Linked DNA regions of Rhinolophus ferrumequinum. The protein of the gene in region 1 interacts with the protein of each later gene in a pairwise test. Links are inferred from orthologs where the notes say so. Each region holds a gene or a part of one and is shown on either strand. Other genes may lie near its edges.

What was found. The genes of interacting proteins can lie anywhere in the genome.
Region 2: the proteins of RBFOX2 (region 1) and HNRNPF interact in binary tests that used the Homo sapiens proteins (3 or more experiments, as listed by UniProt). The link is inferred for Rhinolophus ferrumequinum from reciprocal best matches to the Homo sapiens genes RBFOX2 and HNRNPF.

Annotation. Positions count from the first base shown.
Region 1 is NC_046293.1:10,469,390-10,476,414, reverse strand, and holds the start of RBFOX2 (RNA binding protein fox-1 homolog 2), read right to left. Parts: upstream 3,014-7,025; 5' UTR 2,922-3,013; coding exon 2,730-2,921; intron 1-2,729. UniProt on the Homo sapiens protein: RNA-binding protein that regulates alternative splicing events by binding to 5'-UGCAUGU-3' elements. Prevents binding of U2AF2 to the 3'-splice site.
Region 2 is NC_046299.1:66,653,522-66,660,901, reverse strand, and holds the start of HNRNPF (heterogeneous nuclear ribonucleoprotein F), read right to left. Parts: upstream 3,014-7,380; 5' UTR 2,956-3,013; intron 2,636-2,955; 5' UTR 2,570-2,635; intron 2,227-2,569; exon of another isoform or gene 2,088-2,226; intron 1-2,087.

The DNA.
Region 1 (7,025 bases):
AGAGCACTTACAATGGACCCAAAACCGTTTGGTATTATTAATACAAAGAAGTACAGTTCCTGTCTCCTAGAAGCTTAGTCTCACTAGGGAAACAAGAATAACAAAACAATTAAGGGACAATATACATGATGCATGAACAAGCATTGGATATAAAGGATACAAGAGGGTCTGACTGGTGTGAATCAACTGGTGTTACTCCCAATTATACCTCAAATTTTAAGCTCCCCAGAAAGCCTTCCTTGACCATTTCAGCAGGAATGACCATCTCCGTCTTCTGGACTGAGTGGCACAAATCCTCTAAACCATGCAATGAATGCCTTTTGGCATGCATCTACCCTGTGGTATCTCTACTCCTATTTCTCTAAACTTACAAAAAAAAATCATATATATATATATATGTGTGTGTGTGTATATAAATATATATACACACACACACATATACACTTTTTACAACTTTTCACCCATTTTGTCTCCCTACCTAGATTGTAAGCACCAAACACTTTAAGGTCAGGGAACTTGACATATATTTTAGAAGGTAACTTAGAAATCATCATGTATGAACACTTTATTTTACAACTAAGGAAATAGAGGCCCAAAAAGAAGGGATTTTCCCAGAACCATACAGCTAGTTGAAGGCAGGGGACTAAATCAATGATGATATGAATACCTGTGTGACATGGTATGTTGGAAGTCCAACAATGAGAATGCATAAAGTGAAAAATAAATAAAGATCCACAAATACACAGAGTGCAAAAAACATTCTCTGTGGGATGGTTCTAAGTCGCCCATCTGTACCCAAAGGACCTAATCCACTCCTTCCTCTGCATACCCCAGAGTCCCTATACACTGTTCCACTTCCAAATATTACTGTCCTTAGCCAATTTGAAGGCAACCAGCAAATAATGGGCCCCAGGAGGAAAGGTGGGGGAAAGGGAAGAGTCTCGCTGTTAACTATGATTGACAAAACAATAAATGAATACCGACAGACACAGATACATGCTCACACCACGCAGAAAACGCTCAGCAGCACTCATCCAGTCTTCCCTCCTTCCCATCCAGTACTAACCCACCTCACCTGAAGTCTCCCCATATTCCTTTATATATATTTTTCCCATGGCCCTGAGCTTTCACTTCTCACAATCCCTCTGCCTGACAGAGTTCTAAAGGAGAACAAAAGCAAGCAAACAAAACAAAAGAATTCAAAAATAAACACCACAGAGGATCACTGTACCCAAGTCAACAGAAGTAAGAGTGGCCTCTGCAAAGGAGACCAAGAAGCACACAGTAAACACGCCAGGCTTAACTACAGCTCCGTCTCTAACACAGGAAGTCAGGCAGAGCCTTGAAAAGCAGGAGCAGAGCACAGGAAGTCTCTTAGCACTGCAGAGATTTCCAAGAGTGGTGTAATGGAGAGAGCACAGGAATAGGAATTAGAAGAGTAGGCTTCCAGCTCTAGTTTTACTACCGAGCTCACTGGGTGGCCTTGGGCAAGTCACTAGTCTTCTCGTGACTTTTGAGTCCCCATCTATAAAATGAGATGGTTAAAACATTTGGGAACTTGAATCCAATCCAGAAAAAGAAAAAAAGAAATTATTGACTTCCCCCCCTAAAAAGTGCAGGTAAACTATTTTGCACAAGTCTTCCAAGTCTACCCAGGTTTAGAACCCCTGGAAAAGATGACGTCGCTGGTCCCTTCTAACATTCTATGATTCTAAGAGAATTAGGCAGATGTCTAAACAACTGCTGGTACATTAGCACCCACCCCCAGCCACCACCACCACCACCACCACCACCATTTCATAGCAAGTATTTTCTGAACAAAGACCAAATCCTAAAACTAAAGCTTATCAAGATTTCACATTCTTCCTCAAATTACAAAGTCAACTGACATCATTGCTCCATTTCCCATTCCTTACCCACATCAATCAGCTCATCCTTGACTCCACAACTCAGAATCCAGGCTTCTAACAGCCCTATACCTGTTCTTTCATACCCCAAAACATTACAGAGCTAGTCGGTGCCCTAGCTATGGAAGAGGCCACTGGCAAAGTCCAGGAGGGACATGCCCTGCGTCTCTCTTCAGACTCATTAGCATGTTTCACAAAGTTAATGCGACGGAGCACCACGGTGTCCCCACAAGACTACCACACGCCGCGTACTTCTCACATTCCTGGTGGAACTGATTTAACCCACAATCGAAGCCACATCCCCTCTGGGCTCTCGAGGAGTTTTCTGGCCTTTGATTCCTCTCTTTTATTATGTGCCACTCCCCTTCCCCATCCCAGTGTGTGTCCCCGGCTGCCAAAAGGTACTCCTCCTCGGGAGGTGTCCCACCACTGTCCCCTCGTCCTCGACTCAGTCCAGCGGCTCTCTGGGCTGCAGACCCAGGATCTCCCGGCTTTCACTCCACCCCAAGGAACTAAGGAAGGGTTGGAAGAAATGGAATCCATCTCAACCATGTTCGATTTCCCCCCGAAACCCATCCACGCGTCGTGTCCCCTTGTGCCCTCAATAATCAGGACCCTCGTGGGCACGCCAGGGTCCCCCGGCACACTTCGCCTCCAAGCCGGGGCTCGCCCCACCTTCCAAACAGGCCACGACCGGCCCCCTCCCACTTCCAAGCCAAGACCCCGAGGCCCTCCCCTTTCCAAGCCCCGGGAGCCCCGGGCCGCCCCCCGGGACCCGCGCCGCACCCCCGCCGTAACCGGGCGCCCGTCCCGCGCGGTCACCTGCATCCCGCCGCCGCCGCCGCCGTCGGCCGCCGCCTCCTCGGTGCGCGGCCGCTTGCTCAGGCCGGGCTCGGCTCCGTCTCCTCCCCCACCGGGCACCGGCAGCTCCAGCTCCGACTCCCGCTTCATCCCCCGGGCAGCGGCGCCGGGCCCGAGCTGCGATGGCTGTTGCGGCTGGGTGCCTTCCGCCATCCGCCCGCGCCCCCCTCGCCTCCGGGAGCCGGGCGACCCGCGACAGGCCACCTCCCCCTGGGCCTCGGCCCCGACAGTCGCGACAGGCGGGCGCGCGCCTGCCCCCGCCCCCGCGTGCGTGCGTGCGTGCGCGCGCGCGAGCGCGCGGGCCCGGCGCTCCTCTGCGACTGGCGATCGGCGTCCTCGCTCGCGCGGTCCTCGGCTGTGGGAGGCTGGCGGGTCGCGACGGGCACTGGCTCGCGCCCCCACGCGCACACGCGACCCACGGCCTGGCCCGCCGCGCGCCCCGCCTCACACTCACGGAGCTCGCCCGCCGGCCCGCGCCCGCTCCCTCACACTGTCCCTCACAACACGCCGGGCCGAGGGAGGAAAGGGGCGGTCCGGGCTCCCGAGCCTTGGGGAGGGGTGTTTATTTGGGGGGAGGAGGGGCTCGAGGCCGGAACGAGCTGACTGGCCGGGATCCTCCGACCCGCCACTGTGGCAGCACCGGGAAGGCGGGGAGAGAGAAAGGAGGAGGGAGGGACCGGGATCTGGGACTCCAGCCCGCGCGGGAGGCTGTGGCGGGGGTGGGGCGGGGAGGGCGTGGCGGGGGTGGGGGCCGAGCCTGCGGAGGGGGCGTGGCCAGCTCCCCTCGGCAATCTCCGCCGCCTCCTCTCCTGGCGCCCGAGGGAGGCCGGGGAGAGAGCAGGACAGTTCGGGAGTCTCCGCCAGCGGCGAGGGATTGTCCTGGAGGCACCGTGCGGCTGGATTTCCAGCTAGCGCGGAGGGGGCGGAGTCTGTTTCCTCTAGGGGCGGGGCCATAGCCTAGGACAGGCGGAGCTTGAGAGGCCCGAGGGCCCCGTGAGTTCCCGACTAGGGAACCGGCACTCTGTGGGAGGGGGCGTTTAGCCTGCTCCCTCTCCCGCGGAAGAATGAGGATCTCGATTTGGAAGGTCCAGGAATGAAATCACCACTACATGGCTCTCCCCAATTCTAAAAGCTTTGACTCTAATAATAATAATTATCCCATTCCTGATCATCTTAATAATAACACCTGATGTTTGTAAGAGCTTGCACAATGCAGTTTGCACAATGCGTTCACAGACCCGTTTTGAAGCGATGGTATGAGCAGAGTAGATACCAGGAACTCCTTTACGTTGATGATGAACGTGAAGCTTCGTTAAGTCCTGGAGCTAAACAGTGGCAGATCCAGCTCTCAGGACATCAGATCATCTTTTCTCTACGCCTTGCTGCCTGTGTAACACTTTGTTAATTTCAACTTTCTGCAATTAGAGATGCTGTGCAACAGCTTCTTTCTCCTACCAGTCTGTAAGGACCAAAAGGGCATCTATTTTCTCTGGGTTCCATATTGTGCCCTGTACGTTACAGGGATATAGTTATGTTGCATGCATGACTTGGATTCTACAAACGAGCTTCATCTCTTTGGACCCCTGACCATCATTTGTAAAATGGGGAGATAGTTTAGATCAGCGGTTGGCAACCAGGGGCAATTCTGTCCTTTCCCCTCTCCTCCAGGGCATTTGTCAACTGTCTGGAGACATTGTGGGTCATTACAACTGAGGGGTGCCACTGGCATCTAGTGGATAGAGACCAGGGATATTGTTCACCATGCTTTGATGAACAGGACAGTCCTCACAACAGTTATCCACCCCAACATGTCAACAGTACTGAGATTGAGAAACCCTGAGTTACATGATTTCTAAGGTCATTTCCAGATGGGTCTAGGAGTTGTCCTTTGACTTGGGTTTAACCCGCTGAAACAGTACAATGGTAAAGATCCTTGCTTTGGAATCAGACCAACCAAGGTTTGAGTCCAAGCTTTCCCATCTACCACCCATGTGATGTTGGACCAGTGATCATTTAAGAAGTTCTATATAGAAGGGGAACAGGGCCTGCAGACTGTTTGGAAGGGAAGACTGAAGGACTTGTCCTGAAGCTGAGTTTTCCTAGCTCATTGTTTTTTACCTAGTCTGTGTCCTAGATCAATAAAAATAGCCAAGTTTTGGCTCTGCCCCTGAACCAGTCATGATGCCGTGTGAAAGCTACCTAGCCTGTCTATGCTTTAGTTTCTTCATCTGAAAATCAGGATAATAATACTACCTTCCTGAAAGGGTTCTTGTGAGGATTCAATGAATTATCACACATTAAGAACTTCGAACAGATTGGCCAATGATAAACACTTAATAAATGTTAGCTATTATTATTGTTATTACCATTATTTTATTCACATCTTAAATGTGAGCAAGAAAAATATTCTTATCAAGATCAAAGGATATCATTATCACTACTACTGGTTTTTTTTTCCAATTACATAAAGTGGGGGGTGGGGGCCTGCTAGAGATTAAGATGGGCTGACAAATCACCCCAAGTCACCCCTTAGTGCAACAGCTATATTAGGCAAGTCATTTATTTTCACTAAACCTTACATTCCTTGTTTGTAAGATGACAATACTAGTTACAGTGTTGTTCTAAGGATTAAATGAGACAAAATAAAGAACAACAATGTAAATAAATTAGGTGATAAATATTGACCAGAGCACGGCGTCGAACTGCTTAATAAGTGGTCAATATTTATCACCTAATTTGTTCAGTGATGCTAAGCCGCTGGTCAGGGGTTCATGCGGCTGGAAAGAGAAGCCCAGGCAGCTTCTACTACTGCCATTCGGGCCATCAAGTTGGAAGTCCAAGTGCCTGAAAGGTTGTACTTGAGCTAAATTAGTCCCAACCTACGGCAGGGATCTCCAGTTGGCAGTGCCCCCTGGGCAGATAGGCCTTAATCCTGTGCAACCAAGCATGCGCATTATAGCTCTAAAGAAAAATCAGGATGTTTCTTGGTGGTCTATGGAACAACAATGGCTTCTTTTGTCTAACCTAGGGACGTCAGTGGTTGGTTTTCTGAAATTTTTACTTATTAAGCTGGTGTCTTGAAAATTCTTCTCCCCTCCCTACCTGCCTTGCCAAAATACTAGAATTTAAATGACTCTAGGTCCTTCCTGGGCTGCTCCACGACCCAGCAAGAAATGAGATTTGGTATCAGGGCTGCTTGTGACTCAAATTATTGTAAGTCAAGTAGCACACATTTCCCTGAGAAATAGAGCGATGTGGTACAGGAATGTTTGAATGACCAGGCAGAACAAAGAGAAATTGAACCTTGTCCTGTAAACAAGCATTAAGCTTTTAGAGAGAGCTTGCGAATAGAAGCCTATAAATAGTAGAAGAGGCCAAATGAGCCTATAGTGACACAAAGACCAGGATCGTTTCTTTCATGTACATCTGCAGCCACCTCTGTGGGAGCAGGTGGTTATAAAATATTACAGAGGAAGAAAACAATTAAAGAATATTTTCCTAGAAAGAATTTTTAGCTGCAGAAATTATTGAAGTCCTAATGTTTATTTATTTATCCACTTGACAAACTATGGGCAAAAGTCTGGGATATCAAAAAGAATAAAATTGATTCCTGGTACTGAGGAGCTCAGTCTGGGAAAGAAAGGATGAACAAATAAAAAGACAAATACACACCAGAAACTAATATAAAATATTGAATGTCAACTGTAATTGAAAAATTAAATACACAGAGAGTGCCAAAAAAATGTATACACATTTTAAGAAAGGAAAACTGTATTAAAATTATTCTACTCAATATATACCAATAACAAAAGATGAATACAAATTACGTTTGATTTCTGCAACTACAAGGGTGCTCAAAGTGGTTCCCATCGGCATCCAGACACTTCTGCATTACGGCAAACTACTGCCTGAGCAATGTCGACCAAAGTGTCCACTTGTATACACTTTTTTTGGGCACCCCAAGGTTGTGTATGTGTGTGTTTTAAGAATTACAATGCACCATGAGAAGGAGGCATCTCTCATAGCGGTTAAGAACATGGACTCTGGTATCACACATGGGTTTGAGTATGACTTGGCCATATATTTGACCTTGTACAAGATCCTTACCACCTCTTAGACCCAGTTTCTTCATTTGTGTGGCAAGCACTGGTAGTTCCCAACCCTTATATCCTCTTATTCCTAATCAGCAGAACCCCCATTTTATTCAGGGAAGAAATCTTTCCAGCTTTAAAAAGAGAAAAAATATACATAAAAATG
Region 2 (7,380 bases), on another chromosome or scaffold:
TTTAAAAAAAAGATAATTAAAAAATTTACACGATGAATGATATTTTGGATCTACATTAGGTTAAAGTAAATTATTAAAGTGAATTGCTTTTTTTTTTACTATTAGAAAATGTAAAATTAACTATGTGGCTTCTATTTTATTTCTATTGGACAGGACTGCTCTGGATTAAAACATAACTTAAAGAGATATAATCTACCAAATATTAAGGTGTGATCTTATTTGGATCCCAATTCAAACCAACCAGCTGTATAAAAATACTTATTAAACAATCAGGTATATTTAAACACTGGGTATTTGTTGATATCAAAGAATTATTATTTCTTTAGGTGTGATGATATTGTGATTATATTTTAAAGGTCCTTAGAAATATAAGCTGAAATATTTATGGATAAAAATCTTATGTCTGGAACGTGCTGTAAAACAAACCAGGCTGGTCATAGCTGAGCCTGGTTCTCCTTCTGCCCTGCCTTTTGTCTCGCACAAGAACCCTGTTTCGGGGCAACCAGGTTGGGGCAGGGGCCCTGGCAGGAGAGGACTGCTCCTGTCAAAAAGACCTGAGTCCTAGTCCCAGCTGTGTCACTGGTCAAGTGTCTTCTTGTCTCCCAGCCTCCATTTTCTCATCTGTAAAATGGGGGATAAAAGCAATACCCCCTTATAGCCTGGTTATGAGCATGTGATTAAGAAAATGTTGTAAAACACCTAACTCTGTGCCGAACCCAGTAAGGGTCAATTAATGTGGTTCTACAAAGAACCTGAGAGCTAGAGCTCACACTTCGGAGGGGAAGTTTCTGGGAAGTTACCTCCGTGAAAGAGGGAAACCCTCCCATTTCTGCCGTCTCTCCAGACACCTCTCCTGATGGGCACCGTGTGCCTCCACACGCTCCTTCAGTTTTGGCCCTTCTATACAAGGACTAACTGTCCTGTTGAATCACTCTTTGCCCTTAAATCGATTTACATTTTTACTTGAATATTTTGTTTAATGGGAGCTTTGTAACAATACTCAAGTGAAAACCAGTCACTTGGCAGTTTAAAAAGGTAATAAAAGCAAATACTACAAAAAGAATGTTACTAAAATAAAAAAAACTAAAAACAAAAAGACCACAACATGGAAATAACAAACCTACTCAATTTACAGAAATGCAGACAGGAACATGAGATCCCCAAGACAAAGAATGGACTCGTTTAACATCAGTTAACAAAACAATCTCGTCTAGAAATTAGCACTGAAAACATCACTTTTCACCGATAGATCCTAGTATGTTTTGTCTAACCAGAGAGCCCAAGGTATTTTCATTACTAGAAAGAAATTCAGAAAGATAGTAAACTTTTAAAAACGTGACTGAAATAGTGAAAATTACATTAAGATCGGTAGTATCGATGGCGTTGTGAATTAAAAGATAATTTCAGCATTCAAAACTCTCCCTGCTCCACCAGGTTTGGGACGCGCAAGGGCCGCCCCTAAGCTCAGGCGCCTCGGATCTCCTTCCTCTACCCTCCGCCGACCCGCGCGGTTCCCGGAAGCTGCCGCTGCCTCACGGTCCCCCTTCAGCGCGCAGCCGCTCGCGGGTTCCTCTCTCGTCACCCCCCCATCCCAGCCTGCAATGGCAGGGAGCCCCCGGCACCCCGCAAACAGATGTGAAAAATACTTAACCACGTTCTTTCGTCCTCGGGCCTCCAGGGTAAAGAAACTGCCGCGAAGGGACCCCGCGGGATCAACGGGACACAGGAAGGCAGTCTCCTAAGTGCCCTGGAAAGGGGGCTCTCCCCGGCTTGTGGCTTTCCAACCGTTTCTATTAAAGACCAGGGTAGGTAGGGTCCACGCGACTGGCGCGGCGTCACCCAGGCCGCCGGCGCCACCTTCAGTGAACCACACAAGACAGGGGAAGCAGAGGGCGCAGTGCAAGAGCCTACAGCGTCGATAACTTTCTTAGGCGCAGTCAAGAACCACCAAATATATTCAATGATACAAATAAGTAAAAGACAAGAAAAAAAGAAACGGCTAACTAATCAACCTCGTTCGGCAGAAGTGTGATCAACAGGCAAAGATAATAAGAACCCGAGTTTCAGCCAAAATGCAGACACAATACCTCTCACGGCAGGAGACAGACGCAGACAAGCGCTCAGAGCACACACGCCGCACCAAAAGGAAGAAAGGCCGCAAAGGCCGAGAGTGGAGGCCGGGCGAGCGGGAACGTGGGAGGGGGAGGAGTCAGTTCCCAACCAGTCCTGCGCAACTCCCCGGCGCTTCCAGCCACGTGGAGGGACTGCTTTCATTTTTAAACGAATTCCCTCTCCGACGGTCACCCGGTGCTCTCCCCTTATTCCTGGCAGAGGCGCTTGGGCTCCGCACGAGGCCCTCTTTCCCTTCCTCGCCGCGGGCCCGTCGTCTTCGGACCCCAAATCTCAGCCCTGAGATTTAGTCCCCGAATGTAAGGCCCTGGACCTCAAGCTCATCTGGGACAAACCCAATTCTCAGCCCTGCCGCCCCTACCTCGAGGGGGCCCAGTCCCCGATCAGTCCCAGGTGTGCGGCTATTGGCCTCGGAGATTCCGCCCGTCCCGCCCCTCACCTCGGGCTCCGAGTCTCCACGCTCCCGCTCTTCTTCACACCCGGCACCTTGGTCGTCGCTGAGCACCTAGAGGAGGGTAGAACGCGGGAGACTTGGCAGTTGTAACTGAAACAGTTGAGGCTTGTTTACCATCACCATGGATACCCCTGGCAGCGCGCCCTGGGCGGGGCCTGGGGGAGGAGGTCAGGCGCGCGGCGGGCTGGTGCCCACAACTCCCGCCCGCCATGCGCACGCGGCGTTTAGGGAAGCGCTGCTGCTCTCGGTGTGCCCGTCCCCGCTCGGCTCTGCGCCCCAGCGCCCGGGAGCAGCAGCCCCGGAAGCCCGCGCCCCAACCTCGCTTCTGGCTGCCCGCGCGACCGAGGGTCGGTTTCCCCACGGAACCCCACCTTTTCCAGGAGGACGAGACGCAGTCCTACTTCCACCACAGAACCGGAAGGACGCAAAGACCGTGGCGGGGCGTGGCCTTCGCGGCAGGCGTCCGGGGGCGGTGCTGCAAGGCCGCCATTGTGACGCGCTCTGTGCAGAGCCGGGGATTGGTCAGCCGGATGGGGGCGGGGCTGGAGCCTACGGAGGGGAGAGTGCATCGAGGGTAGCGGCTGGTCTCCGGCAATCCTGGCTCAGCTGACCAGTGCGTTTACCTATTGCTCTTTAAGTTACTGACTGGGGGAGGCCCCCAAACAGTGAGCCCAAAGATGCATGGGTTAAAGACCAGCATGAGAGAAGTAAATGAGAGTCGTTTCCTGCTGAGGAAGAAAGAGGAAGCTGAACCGCAGAGACGGATAAAGGAGGTTCCAAGGGCAGGCTTCAGGGAGGAATTAGGTTGACTGAGGTTGCTCATGTGACTATCACTTGGGCTAAGAAGTCCCACAGACTCTGAAGGTGACTCAAGACTCAGGGGGAATGCACGGTTTTCAGTTAGTATCTGAAACTACCCGCTGCCTGAAAATGGATGGCTACAGCCTGAGACAGTGGAGCAGATTTTCTTGATGTGTTCTAGAGTCAATAATTATTATCATTTTGTTTTTGGAAAGTCTTCATAAAGAAGAAAAAAATAGGAGCCGGCCTGGTGTCCAAAGTCAGGCTGTTGGAGCTCCGTGCTCCTAACTCCTAAGGCTGCCGGGTTTGATTCCCACATGGGCCAGTGGGCTCTCAACCACAAGGTTGCGGGTTCAACTCCTCCAGTCCTGCAAGGGATGGTGGTCTCTGCCCTCTACAACTAAGACTGAAAGGACAACAACTTGAAGCTGAACGGCACCCTCTACGACTACGATTGAAAGGACAACAACTTGGGAAAAAAAAAAAAAAGTCCTGGAAGTACACACTGTTCGCCAATAAAGTCCTGTTCCCCTTCCCCAATAAAATTTTAAAAAAAGGAAAAGAAAAGAAAAAAGAAGAAAAAAATAATCAAGCACTCATTACAAGTTAAGCAGAATATTATTTTAAAATCACCAGTTAAATTAAGGGAGTGCTTGAAATAGTGTAAGATTATGACTGGAAGATAGTAGAGGAAGGAGCACTGTTTCTCAAAAAATGTTTTTTCCAAGAAAGACAAAAGTGGGAAGAGTAAAAGCGGGAGCTGTCAGAGAGGTGAAAATTAATCAAAGGCAAAATTACAGAAAACGGGTCCTACTAAAATCAGGTAGGTATTTTTAAGAAACCCCACAATGACTCCATCACAGTTCATGCTGTAGAAAAGTCTGTTTCTGGAGAGAAAATGGAAGTAGTCAATCTGAGGCAAATATTAAAATTAAACCAAAAAATAGTACTGCTTCTAAGTTTAGGGACTATGAAACCATGTCCCGGAAGATATATTCATGTAGTCCATTAAGAGAGCCTTTGAGCCTAGTGGCTCTTTGATCCTTTCAAGTCTGAGAGTTCTCTATCATTCATCAATGATGCAATAATCTTTCTAGTCTTCTGAATGAAAGGCGAGGGCCTTGGACTGATTTTGAGCCTGTGTCTAGTCCTAGGAAGTCATCCCAGATGTGCACTATGATATGAGTAGTCACATATAAGCCCACTTCCACAGCAAGTGCAGGAATCGTTCACTGGTGTTACAGATCCCAGGACTTCTTCACAAATGTCTGGCTTATCTCACCAACTGGGGACCACTTCAGCTGTGGGGCCAGGGGTCCTCCACCCTTTCTTTTCATCTCTGTATCTACAGAAGTGTCTCATCTAAGCTCTGAAATCTCAGATTTTTTTTGATTCTTGAGAGTAACTGCACGGAGATGTACCCTTAAGGTACATGGTTTAAAAACAATTGAATTCACCACAAATGAAGATCACCCCAAGCTGTGTCCTTACAGACTTACCTGCCTTTTGTTTATGTAAATAGATTATCACAAATTTAATAACTTTCAATATTTTAAGTTTTAAAATAAGCTCCTCTCTGGAAACCATTAGTCCATAACAGATGATACAGAGGTTTGTATTGTCTAGAGTCTATTAAAATTTTCCAGTTGATAACCCTTGAAAGAACACTTTACGCATTAAGTTTGACCTCCTTCTCCAGGAGAGTACCAGTGGGTAGGCAGGATCACCGTAGCTCAGCAAAGGCTTTTAGACAAAAATCACAGTATCTGCCACACAGCAGTGATAGCAATAGCTAACATGTATTTCACCTTCAATGTGCTTTACACTATTCTGAATACTTAATCTCATTTAAACAGTGGTAGATGTTATTACAATCATCACACTAAGTGGAAGGAAACTGAGGTACAGAGTCATTAAGGTAACTTTCCTAAGATTGCTCAGCTTGTAGGTGACAGTCTGGGCATGAAGCTGAGACGTTCTGGTTCCGGAGTCTGCACTCAACTGCTGCACTATTTTTTTTCTTTTTTTAGTTTGTTTTTATTTTATTGGGAAACAATGTGTTTTTCCAGGATCCATTAGCTCCATGTCGAGTCGTTTTCAATCTAGTTGTGGAGGGCACAACTCACTGGCCCATGTGGGAATTGAACCGGCGACCTGGGTGTCATGAGCATGGCACTCTGACCAGCTGATCCAACTGGCCGCCCAACTGCTTCATTTCTGAGCTCAGGGAGAGGAGGTTTTTCAGGCCCCTCTTCTGCCTCCCTTTCCCATCTGAGAGAAGGAAAGAATGAAGTGAGAAAGCAAATTGAACTGTCCAGACACAGCATAGGTCCTGTCCAAATGTAATGTTTTTCCTTGAGGCCAGGTGCTCTATCTGGTAGGTAGAGATGAGAATAAGATAGCCCAGGTGGGATGCAGTCAAGTTCAGCAGTCACAGCCTTGTCTGGTTAATTTTCTTGATCAATATAGAAAATGAACCTATGAAGCAGTGCTAATACTTATTCAAGGAGTTCTGTGGGGAATATAATCAATAATGTTGTAAATATTTTGTAGGGTGTCAGATGGGCATTTGTCTTATTAGGGAGACCACTTCATGGACAGTGTAGATGCCTGACCACTGCAGTGTACACCTGAAGCTGAGGCTGAATGTCAACTATAATATGTATATAGTCACAGGATGTGGAGTACAGCATAGGGAATAGTCAATGGAATTGTAACAGCTATATACAATGTCAGAGGGGTAGTAGATTGGGGGAGGGGGTTATCACTGTGAGGGGTGTAAGTGTCTAACTATTACATTGTCTTGTACACCTGAAACTAATAAAAAAACAACAACATGTGAGTTCCCACCAGGGGAGGCTGACCTTTGTATTTACAGTTCTTTCAAACAGCACTTTGTGTTAGTGAAAGGAGTTATGGTACCCCCTTGCTTGATGGTTACTTGCTTGAATTGGTTTCTTTGCCTAGCAAAAGACTCCAGGTAGAGACTAAGCAGTGTTGGGTGGTTGCCCTTAACTTTAAGCATTTCTGCAGCAGGCCCGGCCTGCAACAAGCCCTAGCTTGGACATTAGTGAAGTGAGGTCTAGCTCTCTCCATACTGACTTGTCACCTTTTAGCCTGATAATGAGTTTTCCCAGCCCAGAATATGTACAGTTAGATGCCTTCACTTCTGTGGGGCCTCAGCAGAGTCAGAAAACTTCACTTGGATCAAGATGTGCTGTTATATGTCAATTCTAAAGGTGGAAGGGGGTAAGAAAGGTGCTGGGTACAAGGCAGCTTGCAGCTTCTCTTCTGCCTCTCTTGCAGTAACTTCATTAAAAATTATAAATAAAACACAGAAAGTTACAGATATTATACAGATTAAAATATACTGATATTTTGAAATATTGACTATTTCCTTCCATTGTTTTCAGACCAAAAATTACAGATAAACCTGTTCTCCGAGGTGCTTTTCAACTCTTTAAAAAGCAATATACGGTCAGTGGGGAATATTGAAGTTTTGGGATCAGAGAAGTAACAAAATGTGTGGCCCATTTACATAAATTTCTTTAAAGATTTTTTTCCTATCATATAGATTGTGTGGGTAAGTATATGCTATCTTGATCCATTTTTGAGGCCCTGGCTAGAAGCTGTCAGTTCCTCTTGAACAGCTGATTACGTCCACACCACCAAACCCTTCCCTTATCAGGCTCTCACATTCTAGGCCACCATACTCCTACTCTAAATGACCCAGGGTCAGGGATCAGACAACCAAGGATAGCTCCAGAGCCCACTGAAATTATTTAAATTAGCCATTCCTAACTGTGTTTGTCCTGTCTAACCCTTTCCTTCCAGCTGAAGCCACAATAAAAGTGCTTGCCTGCAGCTCGCCCTCGCTCTGCCTTGTGACCAACCTGGTGCTTCCCCTGAGTGGCCTTGGCTGGTATGCTGTGTTCTCCCCGAGAGCTACGAGTACAAGAAACTGTAAAGTTCTCTCATGATCTGCATCTGACCTC